Arabidopsis thaliana: one gene and its partners. The protein of the gene in region 3 purifies or fractionates together with the protein of the main gene of each other region. This does not show direct contact. Each region holds a gene or a part of one and is shown on either strand. Other genes may lie near its edges.

Region 1 (5,067 bases), on a different chromosome or scaffold from region 3:
AGAGACGAATTCGTACAATGGAAAAGCTTCTAAAGGTGTATTTCGAGCAAACAACGACTTACGGTGTCGCTCTGAATCAGAAACTAGTCACTCAGTGATGCATGATCGAAAGCTTTCTCTTGAGAGCGCTGACGGGGTTTCGTTACTAGCCGGTGAGACATCAACCTCTAGTATCTTGAGCTCCATTGTACATAGCCAGCTGGATGTTAATCATGATATATCTGTTGGTAACCTGGAGATACCGGGTAATGGACGAATAGTTCTCCCGCTGAAAATGCATAGTAAATTAAATAGGATTCTATTAACTATGAATGAGAGACTTCTCAATTCAAAAACAGACATGGAGGATCTTATAGCGAGACTAAATCAAGAGACAGCGGTGAAGGAATATCTGAACAGAAAGGTACATGATTGAAAATAATAGTACATCTGTTTTCAAGTTTGTTGGTAATGAAATCTGCGCTTCTTCCTTTACTCTTCATGCGAATGTCATATATGTAATCTTGGTTTTCCTGTTCAGGTTGATGATCTGGAAGTGGAACTTGAAACTACTAAACAGAGAAACAAAGAGAATTTGGAGCAAGCTTTGATGACCGAGAGACAGAGTGTTACCAAGATGCAGTGGGATATGGAAGAACTCAGGCAAAAAACTTTTGAGATGGAACTGAAGTTAAAGTCAAAAGAGGTATTGAAATTTGAAATAGTTCCATCTCAATCACATTCTTTCCACAATTAAGCAAGTTCACATCGAGCGAGTAATTTATATCTAGCAAAGTAACTTACTGACACCTGCAAACTAATACAGGATGGGAGTTCAGATTCTAAGACGTCAGGAAACTCAACAATCTCTGAGAGCCATGAGCTGTTACAAGAAATGGATGCCACAAAACAGCAACTGGAAGATCTTTCTAGACGGTATGTTGAACTGGAGGCAAAATCAAAGGCAGACATAAAAGTGCTTGTCAGAGAGGTCAAATCCCTGAGACGTTCACATATGGAAATGGAAAAGGAACTGACTCGATCGCTGACAGAGAAGTCTGACACTGAGGTAAATCTTAAGCTTGTAAATAAAAAGCATTATATTATTGCTTGCATCATCCGCTTGTGGTAAATGTATATGATCCTACAGAAAGAACATCAAAACATACTGAAACATGTTTAATTTTTTCAGAAACTCCTCCAACAGGAAAGGATAATAGTCGAGAACACGCTAGAAGCAAGAAGAAGGCTGTATAGTGACTGTGAAATTCTCCACGACAGGCTTAAAGTGAACAACACAAACTTGTCAATGGATGAGTCCAGTAACAACAGAGAAGACTTATCTGAAGTATCAAATGCCTTGCAAGATCAGATTGAGGTAAGCTATTGGTGCATCTCCTTTAATATCTGTAGCAAGAAAAATCGTATTCAAATGTTTACATTCGATAACCATGGCTCAAAATCGCCAAGCTGGATTCCTCGTTTTAAATTTGAAAGTGGCATATTTTCAGGCGCAACTGCTGTTAGGGTTTGATGAGACTGCTTCTGAGGATGAGCTGAGGAAGATAATGGCAGATATGTATGAGGACTGAGGAGAATATCAAATTGAGAAAACATTTGAATTCCGCAATGCAGGTTAAGAGCTCTGTGAAAGAGGAAAACGAAAAACGCAGAAGGTGAAGAGCTTATAGAATAGATATACCATGTACAGAGAAAAGTAGAGCAGAAAGTTGGTTAGTGACGTAAATCCCTTATTTTGAATATGCGAGTCAGATTCTTCTTTATGTAATTAATTGATGTATATGCACACACATGTCTACATCAGATCACCTAATCCATTGTAAAATTCGAAACCATCAGTGTCATTGTTTCTTGTTCACCAAAAACAACTACCATCCATCACTCATGGTCCACAGAGCAGTCGTTGAAAATCAGTGAAAGAAGTGTCATTTTGTCCCAAAAAAAAAGGAAGGACGAAGGAGACTTTTTAGTTGACCAAATCATATGGATCTACTAAACCGAAATAAACCACTCATAACCATTATAGTAAATTACTTGGTTCGGAGTTTTTAATTTCCGATCGTCTTCAACATCACCAAAGCAAAAAACTTTAGGGTTTTAGTGTTTTTTAGGGTTCTTCTTTCTCTCTACCTCTCAGTTCTGCTTTTGCTCTGTCTCCCTTCATTGGATAAATCAATTGGTGTTGTTAGCGAAGAAATAAGAAAGATGGGTACTGAAGTTTCTACCTCGCCGACAAGCCTCATTGATCAGACTGTTGTGCGTATTTTCTACTAAAACCTCTGCTTCTTTGATTATCGTTTTAGATTGGGATTACATTGAAAGATTAAGTTTTGTGAGATGGGTTTCAGGTTCCAGGTGATGTTGTTCTCGATTTATCAAACATGACTAACCAAACAATCAAACTCGGCAGTGGTCTCCGTCAGGTTTTTAACTTTCTCAAAATCACTTGTTCCAAATCTTCGATCATTTTTTTGGAGTTTGAAATTTGTTGTGTTGAGTGTATGAATGAATTAATGAATGTTTTGCTCATTATTAAACAAGTTATGTTGAATTTTGGATCTTGCATTGGCATTTGAGGAATAAACTTAATTTGGAATCTACAGTTTGCTTTTTGTTGGGCTTGCAAGGCTAGAAGATTGACATATGATTTTGAGGTTTTTTCAGGATAATGAGGTGATATCTGTTATGAGAGCTGGGAAGTTGAGGTACTCTAAGCCAAATAAGTATTGGGTGGAAAGTTCTCATAAAAGGGTGAGAACTAATTAGTTTCTTGCTGGTTGTATTTTGCAATAAATTGGTACCTTTTTCCTGATATCTCCTAGCTCTACTAGTTATTCGATTGTTCATCTGCGCTTAACTTGTCGAAAAAGTGGTGGTTTTGCTCTCTAGTTTGAAGAATTACTCCATGTTACTCGATTTTGACTCTGTTATTATGTTTTTTTTGCAGTATGTACCTCGTCCTGAGGATCATGTTCTTGGCATTGTGGTAGATTGTAAAGGAGAAGTAAGTACTCTAAAGACGATCCTTAAATTTTTGTTAGAGATCCTTTTCCCTTGGACCCTCTGAATCAAGCATTTTTTCTCTGTATACAGTTCATTTAATGCAAAAATCATGTATAAAGAATATTGATTTCGGTTGTGCTCTATCATTATCCAACTTCTATCATTGCTCAGCTTGTTTGTTAGTTACATGTATATGTTAATAAATACTTGAGATCATGGATAAAGAAAACGGCATAAGCCTTTATTTAGAGTGTTGCCCCTAGAGTTCTCAGCCAAAGTCATGTTGCATGTAACAAAGTAGATCATAATATTTTGAAAATCGTTTTGACACATGTTTCATTGCAGAACTATTGGATAGACATTAAAGGACCACAATTGGCTCTTTTGCCTGTGCTTGCATTTGAAGGAGCAAACAGAAGAAATTATCCCAAGTTTGAGGCAAGTACCTTCTGAATATACTTCTTCAATCTGAACCATCATCAAAATAGTCTCTAGCTGGTAACTGCATTCAGTTGTTTGAGATGTTAGTATTGCCATTACAGTGTATTGAGAATTTCCCTGGAAATTACAATGGCTTGTGTGTGATATTGAAAGGATCCAGTACTTCATTGGTTTGTTTATGAGCATAATAGGCACTTTTACTTCGTCTGGAGTTGAGCTCATCAACTCTATTTCAAGTGGATTCGCTGTATTAAGTGATAACATAGTGATCACGTGTTTTTGGGAGTTGTGACAATTTGTTGATACAGGTAAGCACTCTGCTTTATACTCGGGTTGTGAAGACAAACACAGGAATGAACCCGGAGCTGTCATGTGTAGACGGTTAGTCCATCCATTCTTTTTTCTCACAAAGTTTAAAAAGTTAAATCATTTCCTTGTTTCTCCGCATTAATTGTTTAGACTAAGCAATTGCTGACTAGAATTGTTGGACAATGTAATAGAAAGTGGAAAGGCTGCAGGATTTGGTCCCTTAAAAGATGGTTTCATGTTTGAAACTTCAACTGGTTTATCTAGAATGTGAGTTTCACTCTTATTCCTTTATTTTTCTTCTAGATGAAGTGGCCTCTTCTCGACTTTTTCTCACTCTTACACTTTGTTCTTATTAGGTTGTTGAGTTCACCAACTTGCCCGGTCCTTGAAGCTCTTGGAAAGAAACTCTCGTTTGAGACTGCGTTTGGCTTAAATGGGAGATGTTGGGTAAGAAAAACAGTGATTGCTTCTTAAGAATCCAAACAATGCAACTGGAAATCGCATGGTTAATATCTTCTGTCTGGTTTCAGGTGCATGCGGCTGCTCCTCGTATAGTGATTATCGTCGCCAATGCGTTGATGAATTCTGAAACTTTAAGCGGGACACAACAGAGAATCATGGTAGAGAAATTGCTGGAGAAAATTTCAGACTGAAAAGTGTGTTGTATGCTTAACAGTATCACTACTTTATAAAAGAAACGTTTTAATTCGCATCTCTTTTTTTAGTATGTAGACTACACTCATATGTTTCTCTTTGAGATAAAAACAAACCAAGATTAAAATTTAAAAGAAACAACATGATTCGTCTAACGATAAATTGATAAGTTTTGGGAGATGGATTAGAGGAACTAGGGTTTGGCAATATTAATTGAAAAATCAATCGATACCAATACAATAACAGTTACAAACATTACGGTGCCTTCATAGCAAAGCAATTAATAAGAATTTATTTGACAACTTCTCTCTTATATATAAGTCTTCAGATTTTCCTACTTGAAACCAAAACGACATGGAGAGACGCGATCAAGACTTGAGTTACTAAAAACGGCGACTAGATTCTACCATAACCGGAGATTTCCCAAACCCTAAAGGCGAGGGTTGTTCTACAGTCGTCCTATCCGACTCTGCTGTGAAGAAGTTTTCAGACAATGTCGTCTACAGATTGTACACCAAGGGTTTGGTGGTGGAAGGTAAGGAAAAGACCGTGAAGTCTGGATTAGAGTTGCGATTTGCGATGAGAAGGAGAATTTGTTGTATGAGATTAAAGAATCACTAAGCGACACTAAGATTAGCTGCATAGAAGTAGAGAGCATGG
Region 2 (4,274 bases), on a different chromosome or scaffold from region 3:
CTCAAATCTAAAGCGTACTACTTTCTGATTAAGTGCTTAATCGCAATGCAATTCAGAACCGTTACTGAATCGAAATTAATTAAAAACCCCAAATAATCGCACGATCATTCAACCCACAAACAATCACGAATACACCAAAATGGATTTAAAAAAGGCCGTAAACTGACCTTCAACGAAGACAATAGCGACTTTAAGGAGAACGGCGCCGGAACAAAAATAGCGGGAAATAAGATCGGTAGCGACAAACAGAGAGTGAGAAATCGAAGAAGAAGAATATTGTTTTGGGAGTGTGGAGCGAGCGAGAGAAATTGGCCGTAGAACACTGTTTCGTGAATGAGAGAAGAGGTTTGGTAATCGCTGTTATTACTTGGATTCTCATGAGGGTATTTTAGTCATTTCCCAATTATCCCTTCTCCGAGCTAAAAAGGGCAGCGAATCTTTTCTATGTTGTTTCTGCAACTGTAGATCCTTTCACAAAACGAATTTCAGCTACAAAAGTCGAAACCGATAAATTCATGAATGAAAGAAGAAAGCCGTCTCCAAAAGACATAACTCGACTAATCTAATCTGATGTACAGTTAATAGTATCAAACACATCCATCATACTACATATCTCAATCAGATTAAAATTCGAACTTTCAATAGAAGCTGAGTAACAAACAAGACCGAATGATCTAATACACGTTACAAGTCTCTGATACATCAGTGACAAAAAGGGGTAGTTTTCACTTTTTCCTCTTTGTACGTCTTCTTTCAGCTTCATTCTCTGCTACCACAACGTGAAACTCTGATCCAAGCATATCATGTATGTCAATATTCTTTGAGTTACTGAGGTTAACAGTCTCCATGATTACTTCTAGTGTCACGGTGAAGCCTAGATTAGACAAGACACGTATCGCATTCCCGATTCTGCATATGGTTTGTCGAGTCTCGAGTGGAATATGGCTTTGCTCTTTTCCTGTGGAGGAGGATGAGATCATTTCCTCATCTTTCTGATCATCTATTGCCATAGGATCTCTCACTTCGACATGTTCTCCAACCCATATGAAACCATTGCAGCCAATAATCAAATCAATCCCAAGACTTTCTACGTAATGAAAGTGATGTTTGCTTCTCTTAACCAAGTAAGGATCGACCTTCAGAAGTTGTCCCTTCTCGAGCTGTAGCGATTCATGGATTAATCAATGTTCAGAGGAAGAGACTAGCGAAAGGTATAACTACATGAGCATGTGACCAAATGAGAACCAACCTTGCCATACTTCTGACTTCTGGCTTGTAACTGCAAGCTACCATCATGCTGAAAGTTGCGTACTTCAGCCTAAGAGTTTGAACAAACCAAAGAGGGAACCCTTTTAGTCAGGTTGACGTAACTGTTAAGATATGTAAAGATTGGAACATTACTAATCACAGGACTTACACATACGACATCATGCTCTACAAAGATATTCCGCATATTGAGTTCATCCACAGAGGTTCTTCGCCTCTGGCAACAACAATAAACTTATATCATTGAAGCCAAAAGCAATCATCCAAATGGCAAAATATCAAGAATCAAACTGTACCTGAATACCATCAGGCATGTTCATGGAAGAAAGCATCAGTACTCCATCCTGATTGAAGTTGAGCTCCACTCTCCAACGTTTTTGAGCAACCTGAATAAGTAAAGATCAATCCAGTAACTGTGCAATGTGATTGAAACCTTTATGTTACTCACTCAATCCGATTTCAAAAATCCAAACACCAAAACAAAAATCTACCTCAATGACACGGCCTACCACAATATCCCCAACTTCAGGCTTGTACCTAAAACGTAGATCATCAAAACCATCAGTTCTACTTAATCTCAGAGTAGAGAGTCCATTCTATTCACATTTTCTGGGAAACTAAACAAATTCAAAGATCAATCACAGACCTGGCTCGCAAGGTGCGTACATAGACAAGCTTATCCACACGCTCCACTACTCCACAGACCGTCGCGAGCAACTCACCATCGACCTCGGAAGTTCCATGTCCCCTTTAATGAAAAAACCAATCGTGAAAACGCAATTTGACAAAAATTTCAATCCAGAAGGGAGAATGAGATGAAATTACTTGAGGAAGGCATCGTCATGGTTGACGGGAATAGAGTCGGTGACGATAACAGAAGCGTCAGAGTTAGCCGACGACGACAGTGATTGAAGCCGCTCGATTGCTCTCTCAAACCTAACCTTCTGCGTCTGGCTCAACGGTAACTGTAGCTTTCTCATCACCATCACAGACACTCTCTCTCTTTCTCTCTATTTAGCTCCAGCAACACAACAATGGCGATGCAAAACGAGTTTGGGACTTGGGAGAGAAGAAGAGCAAAAACCTTGACGTTAGTTCCCTTGAATGAATTCTAGGGTTTTGTGTTATTTGTTGGACTAACATATCCAACTTCTGGCCCATTTATAAAACTTCTGGCCCATTAATCTGATAATTGACGCCAAATAAAGTATTATTTATCTTCATTAAAAAAATGGGAAAAAAATTAGACGTCTCTGCAGCGACAAGCTTCAAGTCTTTTGTGATCTTCCTATTTCTGACGCTAATTCGAATCCTTCACTCTTCAAATTGATTCTTTCACGGATCAAACAAATTATCTGAGAGTACCGATTGGTAAGATCTGAGCTTTACGCTATGAATTTCTTCAAATCCGTCTTCACGGAAGACCTAGATCCTCCAGAAACCGAATCCGAATCCGATTCACCGAAACACAGCGAAGAGCATGAACATCCAGAGCAAGAACATCCAGAGCAATCTGAATCTAACGACGACGGTGGATGGAGCTTCGGTGGTCTGATGAAAACTCTAGCCACCAGATCCGAATCCGTGATTGAAACCTACCGACGAGATCTCGAAGAATTTGGCACAGGTTTGAAGAAAGAGATCGAGGTGGCTCAGGGATCGCTTGGTACGGTGGGACATGCGATTGATGAGCTTGGGAACACGGTGCTAAAAGGTACGGCTGAGATTATTGCTCAAGGTAAGGAAGCGATTTTAGCCGCTGGTAATGAATCTGATTCTTCTGATAACAATAGTAGTCAGAGTTTTGGTCGTCGTGATAGCTTCAGTTCGAAACCATATAGTCGTTTCGATGCTCAGATTCGTGCTGTTCAAGGAGATCTCAACACTTACTGTGAAGAGCCTGAGGATTCAGATGATTACAAAAAGTGGGAATCTGCGTTTTCTCTGGATGGAAAAGCTGAGGAGATGGAGAAATTGTTGGAGGAAAATGGTGATATGAAAGGAGTGTATAAAAGGGTCGTTCCGAGTATGGTTGATCACGAGACCTTCTGGTTTAGGTATTTCTATAGGGTTAACAAGCTCAAGCAAGCTGAGGATTTAAGGGCTAATCTTGTGAAACGAGCCATCTCTCTGGATGATGAAGAAGAATTGAGCTGGGATATTGATGATGAAGAGGAGAGCAGCGAGAAAGTTGTTGAAGCTACCAAAGATGTTTCAAGGTTGAAACTTGAAGGGAATGATGGTATGGGTGGTGGAGATGTGAGTGAAACTGTGAAAGATGAAGTGGAAAGTACATATTCAGTGGCTAAAGTGAGCACGCAAGATGAAGTGACAAGTGCAGATTCAGTGACTGAAGTGAGCAATGTTGGTTTGAAGACAGATAAAGATTCTGAGGAAAAGAAGGAGACTGATAGTGAGGAAGTTCCAGAAGAAAAATCATTTGTTGATGCTGCTCCTCCTGCGTCTGATGAGGCTCCAATCCAAGATTCTGTCAAACCAACATCTGATGAGGCTCCAATCCAAGATTCTGTCAAACCAAAATCTGATGAGGCTGCTCCATCCCAAGACTCAGCTAAACCAGATGTGGCTGCTTCTTCATCAACTCAACAACCATCTGAAGAGGATTTGGGATGGGACGAGATCGAGGATATGAGTAGCATAGATGGTAAGGAAACGAGTCGGTCTGGTGGTAGTCCAAACAGAGCTGAGCTGCGTAAACGTCTGAGTGCTGCAGAGGAAGATGAAGATTTAAGTTGGGACATTGATGAAGATGACGAAGAAGAATCATCATCATCCAAAGCTTAATGTTAGTTTTAAAGTGGTGTGCTTTCTTACTTTTGCCAATCCTTTTACTTGTTTTTACAAGTTTCTGGCGCTTTGCCCCCATTCTTCAGTTGTTTTTCTCTTCAACGTTTCTATTTTACATTGATTTGAAAATATGTTTTTAAATTTTACTTGAGAAGGTGGTTTGAGGAAAGTTTGAATATATTCATCTTGCGATAGTCATT
Region 3 (4,643 bases):
ATAATATTAGTATATATGATACTAGTAAATACATATGACACTGAATATAATTTAAATATATCTATATATAGAAACAGAAAATAAATACAATTGAAAATATATCTCTATATAATTCGGATACCCACATGTAGTTCTGGAACACATGTGTTTTTCTGAGTTTTATCCACAAGTCCCAAAACTTTCGGAATTTTTGAATTTGAGTTTTTTATGGGCGGGCTCAATTTAGGTTCGGACTGGGCGGTTTTCTTTTATCCACGGCAACATTTCAGGACAGTATTATATCTCAACTATTCGATGAGTTTAGTTTGGTTCGGTTCGGTTCTTTTCACTTCAGTTCCAGTTCAGTTGTTTCGGTTCCGTAAATTTGTCCGGGCCTTCCTATGATTATTGAACCAGCTTTAATCCAATTTGCAACTATCAGGAGTAATGGAGTATTATTGATCAGAAAGGGGCCAATTTGTTTTCATTACTACTTTCCCCAATATTGTTGAAGCTTGTTGTGCTTATCGTTCATCTCATATGTTGGATAATTGAAATAAATAGCTCATCTGCTCTTGTTATTAGAAATTATACTAGATTTTCTAGTAAATTACAGTATAATCCATGAACATGTTCTTTATAATTGACTCGAATCTGATCCCCACGGGCTGAAAAATTGTCAAGACAAGTGATGAATCAATAGCTCTGACCATGGCTACCATTTGTATTAAAGATACGAGGTTCATCTGTTCACATATCTAATGATACTAGATAATAGGCCACTAGCTTTTGATTTTTGATTAGACACATAGACGACAAGGATTCTATCAAAGCTACAACAGGAGTAATATGAAACCGTTTCAAAATCTCATGCAAACCATTATGAATTTGTGCTTTTACCCAGCCTTGGATGAACTTTGTTGGAAGTTCTTTCTAAAAAATGCAGATAAACTAGCCGTAGCAGCACGGCCGTTCTCTACACACAGGAAATAATCGTCCACTGAAACAAAAAGGCAAGAATTCAGAATTATAGATGATGCAGTGATTGAGAGAAACAAGTTCTTTAAAACATGTCTTACACAAATGAAATGTATGAGCATAATACACCATAGTGAATTCTATTCAAGAAAGGAAAGTTGATCAGTACCTGACATTACTCCATGTGTAATTGATGTGATGATCCCATGCTCTACTGGCTCGCCTTCCGCTACTGATGACCCTTCCGGAAGAACAGAGAGAGTTGTATTTGGAAAGACTAAATAAGCAAAGGCCGTCATTTTCTGTCCATTGCAGTTTCAAGTAAGTATAACCAACACGCAAAAGAAAATATAACAATGGACAACAAGGCTTTTAAATAACCTTTTCTTCAAGCTTGTTTGGATCGAGTACGAGATATCCATTCTCAGCCAGGCAACAGCATATAGCAACTGAAAAAACAAAAAGCTGATGAAACAGTAAGAAGTAACACACAAAGTCAATTAGAGAAGAGTGTAAATGTACCAGCCAGATGCTTCATAGGGATTCCTGCATCGACAAGCGCTGCACATGCTGCATTTATCGCACATGGTAGAAGCTAAACAGAATTGAATCAAGGAAAAAGCAGCAAAAACTGTCTTCTAAAGTAATGCACCAATTATTCCACTAAAACATATTCACACTCCCAGCTCATGGGACTACAAACTTTCACTGCTAAAAACTCTAAAAATACTAAAACCAAGATTGCTTATACTGGATTATATGTGTTTGACACAGTATCAGTAAATGTTTACCAAAAGGCAAGGATCATAAAAAGGATACAGAACCATCATCATGCACAACCTACACAGGAATCAAAGAATGAAAAGTTCAGATACAACTCAAGTTGATAAATCGATATATACAACAATGAAATAGCTACTCACCTGAATTATCACTGAGGTGGTGGTATTTGGATTAACAGTCAAAACACAAATACTCTGTATCGTCCTTTTCAATATCATCTCATACTCCTTTTCAACTTTTCCTATCATTATGCAAAGTAAAAGTCAGTCAGAATCTAAAAACCAAGAATCACCTCTACCGCATACTCAAGCAACAAAACAACATCCAGACATGATTAAACTAAATGCATTTACGAACCAATCTGCCCGGATTTAGGCTTCCATATGACTTCAAAACAAGCCTTCTCAGCATTTTCGTTCTTTTTCGTTCCTGCTTTAGGTCCATAAACCGCAGCTAGAACTTTTGTATCCCCTGAAAATATAAACAAGAAGCATACCCATTAGAAAGTGCTGATATATGTAATCAAACAAACAAAAAACATGGAGATTAAAACAAGTACCTTGTGACCAACTAGCAGAGCCATGAGGACGATGAAGGATATTACGGGAACAAGCAAGAGGTCTCAGCTGATTTGGTGTTCTTCCATCTTCTCTATCAATCTCCATTGCTACAATACTTCTTCACACAAAAGGGTTTCACAAAGTAAGCATCTTTTGTCACAAAATCAAATTCTCAGATTCTATAACTGTGAATTGTTACCACTGAAAACAAAATTTGAACTGCTTCTAGCTCAACAGTAGGTGTATTTTAATGGTTCTGACCAACATCCGAGTAGTTTTTTTGTTAATTGAGACAAAAAAATCGTTCTTTCAATTCTACAATACTCGTTATCTAGCACATAAAAGACGATGTATGAACAAAAGGACACACGAATCAACACAGAGCTAGACTAAGAACCTAATTTTGAGGAAGCTAGAAGCAGAGACGATTCCGTATCAAACAAGAAGACTAACGAAAGAGAGAATACACAGCTACGGAACTGAAAGCTGGAAGAACAACTGAAACCACCAGAGGAGAGAAACTCGAAGAATTAGGGTTTATTTGTTTCAAAACCCTCAATTTCAAATCAATTAGAGTATACCGAAAACAAACCGGTTAATCCGGTTATTCAAACATTGGTTTAACTTTAACCAGTAAACTCAATTGAGGAAAGATACTTAATACGGTGTTTGAACATAATCAATCTTCCGGAGAAGAATTTGTGTATAACTGACGGAAAAAATCCGACGCATCGACGATATCAAATTTTGATCTGAGATTCAAATTCCGGTGATAACGCGAAGAGGAAGATGGATGATGAATTGTTGGAATTGCAGCGTCAGTTCGAGTTCGCTCAACAGGTGAAGTCAAGCGTGAGATTGTCGGATCGAAATGTTGTCGAATTGGTTCAGAAGCTTCAGGAGCTTGGCGTTATTGACTTCGATCTGCTTCATACCGTCACCGGAAAAGAATACATCACTCAGGTACTGATTCTATTTCGTTTCCGGTGTGAATTTAGACTCCAGAAGAATCATCACTGGGTTTCGCATAGAATTCTGGTATCATGATGTGAGTAATGTGTTAATGGAGTGAAAAATTGCTAACTCTTCTTGTTGCATGAGGAATTTAATCGGAAAAAATGAAGTTAAGTTGTTTGATCTTGATTTGTTTCAGGAGCAATTGAGGAATGAAATTACTCGTGAGATCAGTAAATTGGGACGTGTCTCTGTTATTGATCTGGCAGATACGATTGGGGTTGATTTGTATCATGTGGAGAAGCAAGCACAAGATGTGGTGTTGAATGATCCAGGGTTAATGTTAGTTCAGGGAGAAATAATATCACAAAGTTATTGGGATTCGATTGCAGAAGAAATTAATGAGAGGCTTCAAGAGTGTAGCCAAATTGCTGTGGCTGAACTTGCTGGTCAGTTACAGGTTGGCTCTGAGTTGGTGCAATCGGTTTTAGAGCCTCGACTTGGAACTTTGGTAATTGTGCTTCTCCTCTTGAGCTTTCCAGATTGTGTTTAAGTGAATGTGAACTTTTATATTTATGGATTTTTTTTTCAATCTTTTTTAGGTGAAAGCTAGGCTAGAAGGTGGACAGTTATATACACCTGCTTATGTAGAACGTGTGACCGCTATGGTTCGAGGTGCTTCCAGGGGTATATTTGTTCCTTCCAATTTGTCGGCATTGTGGGCACCATTGCAACAGTTGGTACAAGAAACGAATGGAGCCAGTGGAGTTGCTGTTGAGAATTCATTTTTCCAGTCTATATTTAACCGACTGTTGAAGGAAGAGGAGATGCTTGGATCACTACGTGCTGGAACCCATTGGACTCCTAGTGTATGTCATAAAATTCTTATCTTTTGGGTTTCTGCCACGAATGGATTTACCACTCTATTAATTTACGACAGTCTTCAAAATTTCATGAGTGCACTCTTGTCTATGCTTGATGTTTCCCATGTTTACCATTCATTAGAGTAACTTGTTTGATTTTGGTGGCAGGCTTTTGCAACTGCTCAAAAGGAATGCGTAGACTCTTCTTTTTCACAGGTTTGGTCATCATTTTATCTGAAATGTCTTTAGTCCGTTTATTTATCAGTTGGTTGTGGAAAAGACCTATATTTTGAACTTTATCAGACTGCAGTTTTAGCATGTTCTTTAAATTAATCTTTCTTTAAGAAATGGTGGATCAACGGATTTATGGTTGTTCTGTTTTCCTGCAGAATTCCTACATCTCCTATGAGAGCATGCAGAAGCTTGGGATTTCTCAAGCTGTGCAGTTCTTACAGGTATTGTATCATGTTAATTTAGCGTCATTTATCTGTAGTTTGTGAAATCTAAGTTATGGAATAATAGCCAG
Region 4 (7,366 bases), on a different chromosome or scaffold from region 3:
CCTTATCAAGGCTTATAGCAAAGTGGGGTGTCTTGAAGAAGCTAGGAGAGTGTATGACAAAATGAAGGATTCAGAAGGTGGCCCAGATGTTGCTGCATCAAACAGCATGCTAAGTCTGTGTGCAGATCTTGGCATAGTTTCTGAAGCAGAATCCATTTTCAATGCTCTCAGAGAAAAAGGCACATGTGATGTTATTTCGTTTGCAACAATGATGTACTTGTACAAGGGCATGGGCATGCTCGACGAGGCTATTGAAGTGGCTGAAGAAATGAGAGAGTCTGGTCTACTAAGTGACTGCACTTCATTTAATCAGGTTATGGCTTGCTACGCTGCTGATGGGCAGTTAAGTGAATGCTGTGAACTGTTTCATGAGATGTTAGTTGAAAGAAAGCTCTTGCTGGATTGGGGAACATTTAAAACGCTCTTCACGCTCTTGAAGAAAGGTGGGGTGCCAAGTGAAGCTGTGTCGCAGCTACAAACCGCATACAATGAAGCTAAACCACTGGCAACACCAGCAATCACTGCAACTCTGTTCTCAGCCATGGGTTTGTATGCATATGCGCTGGAATCATGCCAAGAGCTCACAAGTGGTGAAATTCCTCGCGAGCATTTTGCATACAACGCAGTGATATACACTTATAGTGCATCAGGAGACATTGACATGGCCCTAAAGGCATACATGAGAATGCAGGAAAAAGGTCTAGAACCAGATATTGTCACGCAAGCCTACCTTGTTGGGATATACGGGAAAGCGGGAATGGTGGAAGGTGTGAAGAGGGTACATAGCCGGCTGACGTTTGGGGAGCTTGAACCAAGCCAATCGTTGTTTAAAGCAGTTAGAGATGCTTATGTGAGTGCAAACAGACAGGACTTGGCTGATGTGGTGAAGAAAGAGATGAGCATTGCTTTTGAAGCTGAAAGGGAGTGTAGTTCAAGATCTGGAGAAGAAGAAGAAGACGATGAAGAGGAAAATTCTGAAGAAGACGAGGCATTTTGAAGTGTAGCCACAGATGTATGTAAGAAATATTGTAGAATATAGGATTTAGTGGAAATGGACTGTACAGTTTCACAGAAGCCAAAGGAAATATGCATACTTAAGCCTCAGATTGATCTCTGGTAAAGAAATGTGTATCTTAAAACTGTTATAGAAAGAAAAAAAAAGGTTCCACAGGGTCAAATCTATAAAAGCGAGCACCTTTGGCTATGGTTTTGGTAGAGGAATTAGCATACGCTCCTTACAACAATAGATTGATTTGCATCATCGGGTTGGTCTTCTGTTGGTTTTGGTCTCTGGATTGAACATCTTTCTCCTGTCTTGCTTGCTCTTATTTTCAATTGTATAGCATCAAAGCCCATGAAAAGAGCCAGATGTTCTGGAATTGATTCCAATTTGGAATCTTGTCAGTTACTGGTGATGAATATCAACATGGAAGATATGAAACAGAGTAGCCAGCAAATTCCTTCCATTCGGAACAAAGAGTCTCTCAGCTTCAGTCAAAGTATATCAGTTATTGATCTCAAGAAAGTAATAGTAGTGAGCAATGAAGATGATGATGGAGCTCTAGAGTTGAAGAACAGAGGAGTGGAACGAACCAGTGGAGAACTCTTGAAGACCACAGTGTCAATGTGTTTATTGTTGTCTTTGTCTTTCTCTAAAAGTTGTAAAAAAAAAGGGTGTGAAGCTAAAGCTAAATGGTATGTAAGCAATGTTTTGCAATTTTAAATTTACAAAATAACACTCGGAGTTTCTGAAAGTTTAATTTTGACCCATAATATTTGATATTTGAGGCATTGTCCTGGAATTAAAACCAAATTGAAACTCCTTCGCGTGTGTTTTCTGCTGCATTTTTACCTCTTAGCGTCTCCGGCGAAAACCCACTACGACTGAGTATGGCGCTCGAAATCGAAGCTCGAGAGTAAGATTTCGCTTTCTCTTACAAACCCTAGTTTTCGTTTAGTGTCACTGATATGAATTGTGCTCCAAGAACCATCGTTTACGAATGCTCAGATGGATCTTAGGTTACATGTTTGGAGAAAACATCTTGAATGTTGGTTTTTTTATATCCTCCATACTAAAGTTGTGGTTTTTAAATCTACCCATAATTTGTTTTAGCTTGGTTCTTCTAAAGCTAATTGCTTCTGAATATCTAGATTCCTCCGTAGCTATTCTTCGTTTAAATTAACGTCGTATACGAAAATTTGAGGGAGATCATCGTTAGAGTGTTTTGATTCTTTGCAATGCGTCTCGAGGAAAAATCCAATTTGTATAAATTTGAACTCTTGTTAATTCTCGGCTTGGATTGAAACCATTGACAGTATTATTAGCCATTTTGTTAGTAATATTGGATGGAGAACGTTTTGATGCTATATGTCAGCTTTGTGTAGATCTTCATCCCTAATAGCTCTCTATTGTGTTGAATGTCTCAGTGTAATAAAGATTATGCTTCAGTTCTGCAAAGAAAATTCCTTGAATCAGACATTCCAGACATTACAAAGCGAGTGTCAGGTTTCCTTGAATACAGTAGACAGCGTCGAGACGTTTATTTCTGATATTAATAGTGGAAGATGGGACTCGGTACTACCTCAAGTTTCCCAGCTTAAACTTCCCAGGAATAAACTTGAAGACCTTTATGAACAGGTTTGTTCTTTTACTCTGTGAAATGTAGAAGTGTATAAAAATAGTGATTGTCATTGTAAGTTTTGTTTATTTTCGGGGTGATTTTTTCAGATTGTATTGGAGATGATAGAACTTCGAGAGTTGGACACTGCCCGAGCTATTTTGAGACAAACTCAGGTGATGGGTGTCATGAAGCAGGAGCAAGCAGAAAGATATTTGCGGATGGAGCATCTTCTAGTCAGAAGCTATTTTGATCCGCATGAGGTATGGAAACTATATTATGCTCGACTATTCAATATCACGTTGGGTGTTGCTTTTGTTGTTGCTGTGTCACCTAAGCATGGTTGTCCGCAACTGTTCAACAGTTCAAACAATGTTGCTATATCTGTTATCTCTTGCATTTTCTGTACTCTACTTGCGACTTTTGATATCTTTCAAAATCTTAAGTAGAACCAGTGAGCGGTTAAACATGAAGTTGTTTCTAGATGAGGGTCTCAAAGTATAACACATGCTCGTATTTCTGAGTACAAAAGTATCTTTACATGTTACTAGCTCTTTTACATGTTGATGGATTTGACTTTTCTATCTGATTAGTCTTTTGAGGTGTATTGTCTCCTAGTCATTGTTCATGTTATGCACAAAGAGTGGCGTTTTTCATGTAATCATTTCCTTGTGATAATCATGGTTTGCTAATTTTACCTTTGTTTCTAAGGCTTATGGAGACTCAACTAAAGAAAGAAAACGGGCACAGATTGCTCAAGGTTGGCCATTTCTTCTTTATTTTCTACAATAACAATTTTCTTCAGTTATTGTATGATTAATTACCTGAAGGAACCAAGTGATGTTCTGGAATACTCTCTCTATTGCATGCTTAAATATTATTATGACATGAAAAGAAGTTATGACGAGAACTTATTTCCTGTTTAATGGTTATAGAGTTTTTGTTTTCTCTTGCTCAGTATGTACTCAAGGTTCACTAATTGTTTGTTCTCCTACTCGATCAGCTGTGGCTGCCGAGGTTACCGTGGTACCACCTTCACGGTTAATGGCTTTGATAGGTCAGGCTTTAAAGTGGCAACAACATCAAGGTGATTATCTAAGGAACTGTGGATGCTACCAAACAGTTCTGTCAAACTTCATCTCGTTTTCTTTTACTTTTTTGCCTACATTACTAATATATCAATGGAATCAACATATGTACCCTCTCTCATTTCCTAAAATTTACATACACTTGTGTCAGGCCTGCTCCCTCCAGGAACACAGTTTGACCTCTTTCGTGGGACGGCAGCTATGAAGCAAGATGTAGAAGACACACATCCTAATGTTCTTACTCATACCATAAAGGTTCATATTCACACTTTAATAGCTTCTTTAGCTTAGTGGTCTATGATCTGTTGCTCATGATTATTTTGGGTTTTCTCATCAGTTGAGTTCTTGTCTAATTTTCATATCTTTTTCCTTGTGCTGGTGCTGGTGCAGTTTGGTAAAAAGAGTCATGCAGAATGCGCTAGATTCTCACCAGATGGACAGTTTCTTGCATCTTCTTCTGTGGATGGTTTTATCGAGGTGAGTTGATCCGGAATCTGTATGTATGATAATACAAGTTATTAGTCTTTAAAATAATTCTGTGACTAGGATTGCTCAGACTTGAAAAGCATTACAGGTATGGGATTACATAAGTGGAAAGCTCAAGAAGGATTTGCAATATCAAGCTGATGTAAGCTCTCATGTCTTCTTTTCATTTTTTAATTCTAACTCAGTACGGGGTCAGATGAGCTGTTAGTACATTTTAATCAAATGAAAATAATCCTTACTGCATCTGATTATTGAACGTGTGACAAGTCTGTGAGAATGATATGGTGGATTACTTTTTGCTTTTTATTCCAAAAATGTCGCCCATGAGATTCCTGAAGCACCAAGTATATGGTGGATTACTGTTATCTTTGAATTTTAATTTTTTCTCCAATGTAACTCCTAAAGCACCAAGTATCTCGTCTGAGACTTCCTGGTATACAAAATATCAGTTTTGGATAAAGAGTTCCCATTCCATCCTCTTTACTTACTATGATTAATTTCTGACAGGAATCTTTCATGATGCATGATGATCCTGTCCTCTGCATAGACTTTAGCAGAGATTCAGAGATGCTTGCATCTGGGTCACAAGATGGAAAGATTAAAGTAAGTTCCAGCTGCATATGTTTCCTTAAAGTTGAATTTTTTGTCTGAAGATAGACTATTGCGGCAGTTTGGTAGATATATCTTCTTCCTCTCATTGGTCCCATATGTATTCTGATTGAATACAAATAGAAAAACTAGACTTAGATGCATGTCACTTTTGCAGATCTGGCGTATAAGGACTGGTGTATGCATACGTCGTTTTGATGCACATTCCCAAGGAGTTACAAGTCTTTCCTTCTCTCGGGATGGAAGCCAATTACTGAGTACCTCCTTTGACCAAACTGCAAGGTTTTATTAGTTATATCTTTATTTTTTTATTTTGTACTTGCGATATGAATCTCGTCCTATCAAAAACTTGAGGCTTTATATTTCTTTGATGGTAGAATATTCTTTTAACTTTTGATTGCATCTTTTTTCTTCTTGTTTTTGTTAATATTTTCCTTTTCATTTGGTAGTTATGTAAGTTTATTGGTAGAGCTTCTAGTCGAATATAATATCAAATTCTTATTATATATTTTGCTTTATTTTATGCAGAATCCATGGTTTGAAATCTGGGAAATTGTTGAAAGAATTTCGTGGTCACACATCTTATGTAAATCATGCCATCTTTACAAGTGATGGAAGCCGTATTATCACTGCCTCCAGTGATTGTACAGTAAAGGTAAATTCTTCGGCTTTGGCTGTCAGCAGTATCATTGTTTCTCATTTGGACTCTCTGCCCCTTCTGCCGTGTAATAACAGTCTTGTTTCCTTGCACAGGTCTGGGATTCTAAGACGACAGATTGTCTACAAACATTCAAGCCGCCACCTCCGTTAAGGGTATCTTTTCTTATACAGATTTATGTACATCTTGTAATACTTTTTCTGATCTTCTGTGGCAAACTCTTTGGTTACCAAGTCTGAATTTTGAAATATAGGGAACTGATGCATCAGTCAACTCTATTCACTTGTTCCCCAAAAACACAGAACACATTGTTGTGTGCAACAAGACATCATCTATATACATTATGACACTCCAAGGACAGGTAAATTTCCAGCAACGGTCTCCTGCAAATCAGTGTCATTGTCATGCCAAAACTAAGATTGTTCACATGCTTCTATATTGGAATCCTTTTGCAGGTTGTGAAGAGTTTCTCATCCGGTAATAGGGAAGGAGGAGATTTTGTAGCAGCATGTGTATCTACAAAAGGAGATTGGATATACTGCATCGGCGAAGACAAGTAACACTCTAACCTCCTATATCTATCGTTTTATTTTTGGATAAGTTCCACGAGTTTGATTTCAAAGGATAATCTTATGGTTCCTTTCTTTTCGGGTTTCATCTTCTGCCTTTGATGTTCGTAATGGTGTTTGCACCTACAGGAAACTGTACTGCTTCAACTATCAATCTGGTGGACTTGAGCATTTCATGATGGTAAGTTTATATCCGTAACAGACATGCTCCAAAAGATTTTGGATGTTGGAAATTTGAAAGTTGCATTTGAGACAAACACATAACAGTAACTCACTAGAGTAATGAAGTCCCTTGTGTGTTATAATGTTTGATTCATCTGTTCTCCATTTTAGAGCTCAGATTATCATCCTCTCTCTCTCTCTCTTAATACTTATCTTAGTTGTCTTTTATTAGACCTGGTTTCTGAATAGTTTATGCTTATGACAGGTGCATGAGAAGGATGTGATTGGTATAACACACCACCCGCATAGAAACCTCCTTGCTACCTATAGTGAAGATTGCACTATGAAGTTATGGAAGCCCTGAGTTTTCTCATCATCAAGTCTTGTTTTCTGTATGATTAGTCTGTCTTTATTTGATTTGCACTCTTCTCGGGTTAGAACTAGTGTAATGTGAAACCATCTTTGCAAAGATCTCAGCCATTTTGGGAACACTACCCACAGACTCTAAAACCAGCATTTCAGATTTTAAGACCGTTTCACCTGGCCTTGAGCCTTGTAGTAGTTTATTTAACAACGTGTCTCCTTCCTCTTTGACCTTCCCAGCCAGTCAACTCCCATATACTTTTTAGTCTTAGGAAAGAATAAAGTCAAGCTCAAAAATATATAAAAAAAAATGAAAACTTGGGAAGTTCAAAAGAAACAAATAATGATTCTCTTAACTTGATGAATTACTCACAGGTAAATTTACAAATGATGATACGCTAACTGCTTTCCCTAGAGACCATTACAACGGGCAAAGCAGTTCTTCTGGCAACTTATTCAAAAGGAAAATTGTTTCTCTTAACAAATCTAAGAAAATATTATAAGAAAAAAAGAGGAAGAATATAAGATCAGAAGAAATGAAGAAGAGAAAGTAACTGTACTAGCCAGACTATTGCCATGTCCTTTTGAACCTACAAAAATAACAGTAAAACAAAATACATCAAATCTATAAACTAAGATCAAATATATGAGATGGTGTTGTGTAATAAAAAAAAAACTTACTATGTAATCTCCCAAAAAAAATGGCAAGACACTAAGCTCCAAACCATGAGAAATCATCACCAAAACCACCATAGTCAAAGTCCAAGTCAGTCAATGGAGACAGAATGCCACTCTGATACTGAGGCAACTCAC

Evidence for each region.
Region 1: the proteins of AT3G46210 (region 3) and AT2G25355 fractionate together in Arabidopsis thaliana (co-fractionation; one large-scale study listed by BioGRID). This does not show direct contact.
Region 2: the proteins of AT3G46210 (region 3) and RRP4 fractionate together in Arabidopsis thaliana (co-fractionation; one large-scale study listed by BioGRID). This does not show direct contact.
Region 4: the proteins of AT3G46210 (region 3) and SMU1 fractionate together in Arabidopsis thaliana (co-fractionation; one large-scale study listed by BioGRID). This does not show direct contact.

Annotation. Positions count from the first base shown.
Region 1 is NC_003071.7:10,799,186-10,804,252, forward strand, and holds AT2G25355 (PNAS-3-like protein), read left to right. Parts: upstream 1-1,905; 5' UTR 1,906-2,205; coding exon 2,206-2,256; intron 2,257-2,348; coding exon 2,349-2,423; intron 2,424-2,664; coding exon 2,665-2,751; intron 2,752-2,947; coding exon 2,948-3,004; intron 3,005-3,348; coding exon 3,349-3,441; intron 3,442-3,752; coding exon 3,753-3,825; intron 3,826-3,944; coding exon 3,945-4,020; intron 4,021-4,109; coding exon 4,110-4,200; intron 4,201-4,283; coding exon 4,284-4,406; 3' UTR 4,407-4,537; downstream 4,538-5,067. Other genes in the region: AT2G25350 (Phox (PX) domain-containing protein), read left to right, coding at 1-403, 521-685, 806-1,048, 1,172-1,513; AT2G25360 (RING/U-box superfamily protein), read left to right, coding at 5,064-5,067.
Region 2 is NC_003070.9:822,631-826,904, reverse strand, and holds RRP4 (ribosomal RNA processing 4), read right to left. Parts: upstream 2,389-4,274; 5' UTR 2,253-2,388; coding exon 2,092-2,252; intron 2,015-2,091; coding exon 1,913-2,014; intron 1,804-1,912; coding exon 1,758-1,803; intron 1,653-1,757; coding exon 1,563-1,652; intron 1,484-1,562; coding exon 1,418-1,483; intron 1,319-1,417; coding exon 1,250-1,318; intron 1,161-1,249; coding exon 726-1,160; 3' UTR 506-725; downstream 1-505. Other genes in the region: AT1G03350 (BSD domain-containing protein), read left to right, coding at 2,659-4,071. UniProt on the Arabidopsis thaliana protein: Non-catalytic component of the RNA exosome complex which has 3'->5' exoribonuclease activity and participates in a multitude of cellular RNA processing, maturation and degradation events.
Region 3 is NC_003074.8:16,976,085-16,980,727, forward strand, and holds AT3G46210 (Ribosomal protein S5 domain 2-like superfamily protein), read right to left. Parts: upstream 2,833-4,643; 5' UTR 2,781-2,832; exon of another isoform or gene 2,500-2,780; intron 2,419-2,499; exon of another isoform or gene 2,416-2,418; 5' UTR 2,406-2,415; coding exon 2,300-2,405; intron 2,212-2,299; coding exon 2,098-2,211; intron 1,982-2,097; coding exon 1,881-1,981; intron 1,798-1,880; coding exon 1,777-1,797; intron 1,553-1,776; coding exon 1,480-1,552; intron 1,407-1,479; coding exon 1,339-1,406; intron 1,260-1,338; coding exon 1,127-1,259; intron 980-1,126; coding exon 876-979; 3' UTR 547-875; downstream 1-546. Other genes in the region: AT3G46220 (E3 UFM1-protein ligase-like protein), read left to right, coding at 3,090-3,263, 3,454-3,765, 3,857-4,123, 4,286-4,333, 4,507-4,572. UniProt on the Arabidopsis thaliana protein: Probable component of the exosome 3'->5' exoribonuclease complex, a complex that degrades inherently unstable mRNAs containing AU-rich elements (AREs) within their 3'-untranslated regions.
Region 4 is NC_003070.9:27,723,169-27,730,534, forward strand, and holds SMU1 (transducin family protein / WD-40 repeat family protein), read left to right. Parts: upstream 1-1,822; 5' UTR 1,823-1,890; coding exon 1,891-1,916; intron 1,917-2,427; coding exon 2,428-2,638; intron 2,639-2,728; coding exon 2,729-2,881; intron 2,882-3,329; coding exon 3,330-3,378; intron 3,379-3,621; coding exon 3,622-3,705; intron 3,706-3,857; coding exon 3,858-3,961; intron 3,962-4,096; coding exon 4,097-4,183; intron 4,184-4,280; coding exon 4,281-4,334; intron 4,335-4,699; coding exon 4,700-4,795; intron 4,796-4,958; coding exon 4,959-5,083; intron 5,084-5,329; coding exon 5,330-5,456; intron 5,457-5,554; coding exon 5,555-5,614; intron 5,615-5,712; coding exon 5,713-5,820; intron 5,821-5,914; coding exon 5,915-6,015; intron 6,016-6,157; coding exon 6,158-6,209; intron 6,210-6,455; coding exon 6,456-6,554; 3' UTR 6,555-6,863; downstream 6,864-7,366. Other genes in the region: AT1G73710 (Pentatricopeptide repeat (PPR) superfamily protein), read left to right, coding at 1-997; EIL3 (ETHYLENE-INSENSITIVE3-like 3), read right to left, coding at 7,266-7,366. UniProt on the Arabidopsis thaliana protein: Auxiliary spliceosomal protein involved in splicing of specific pre-mRNAs that affect multiple aspects of development. Required for proper accumulation of SMU2.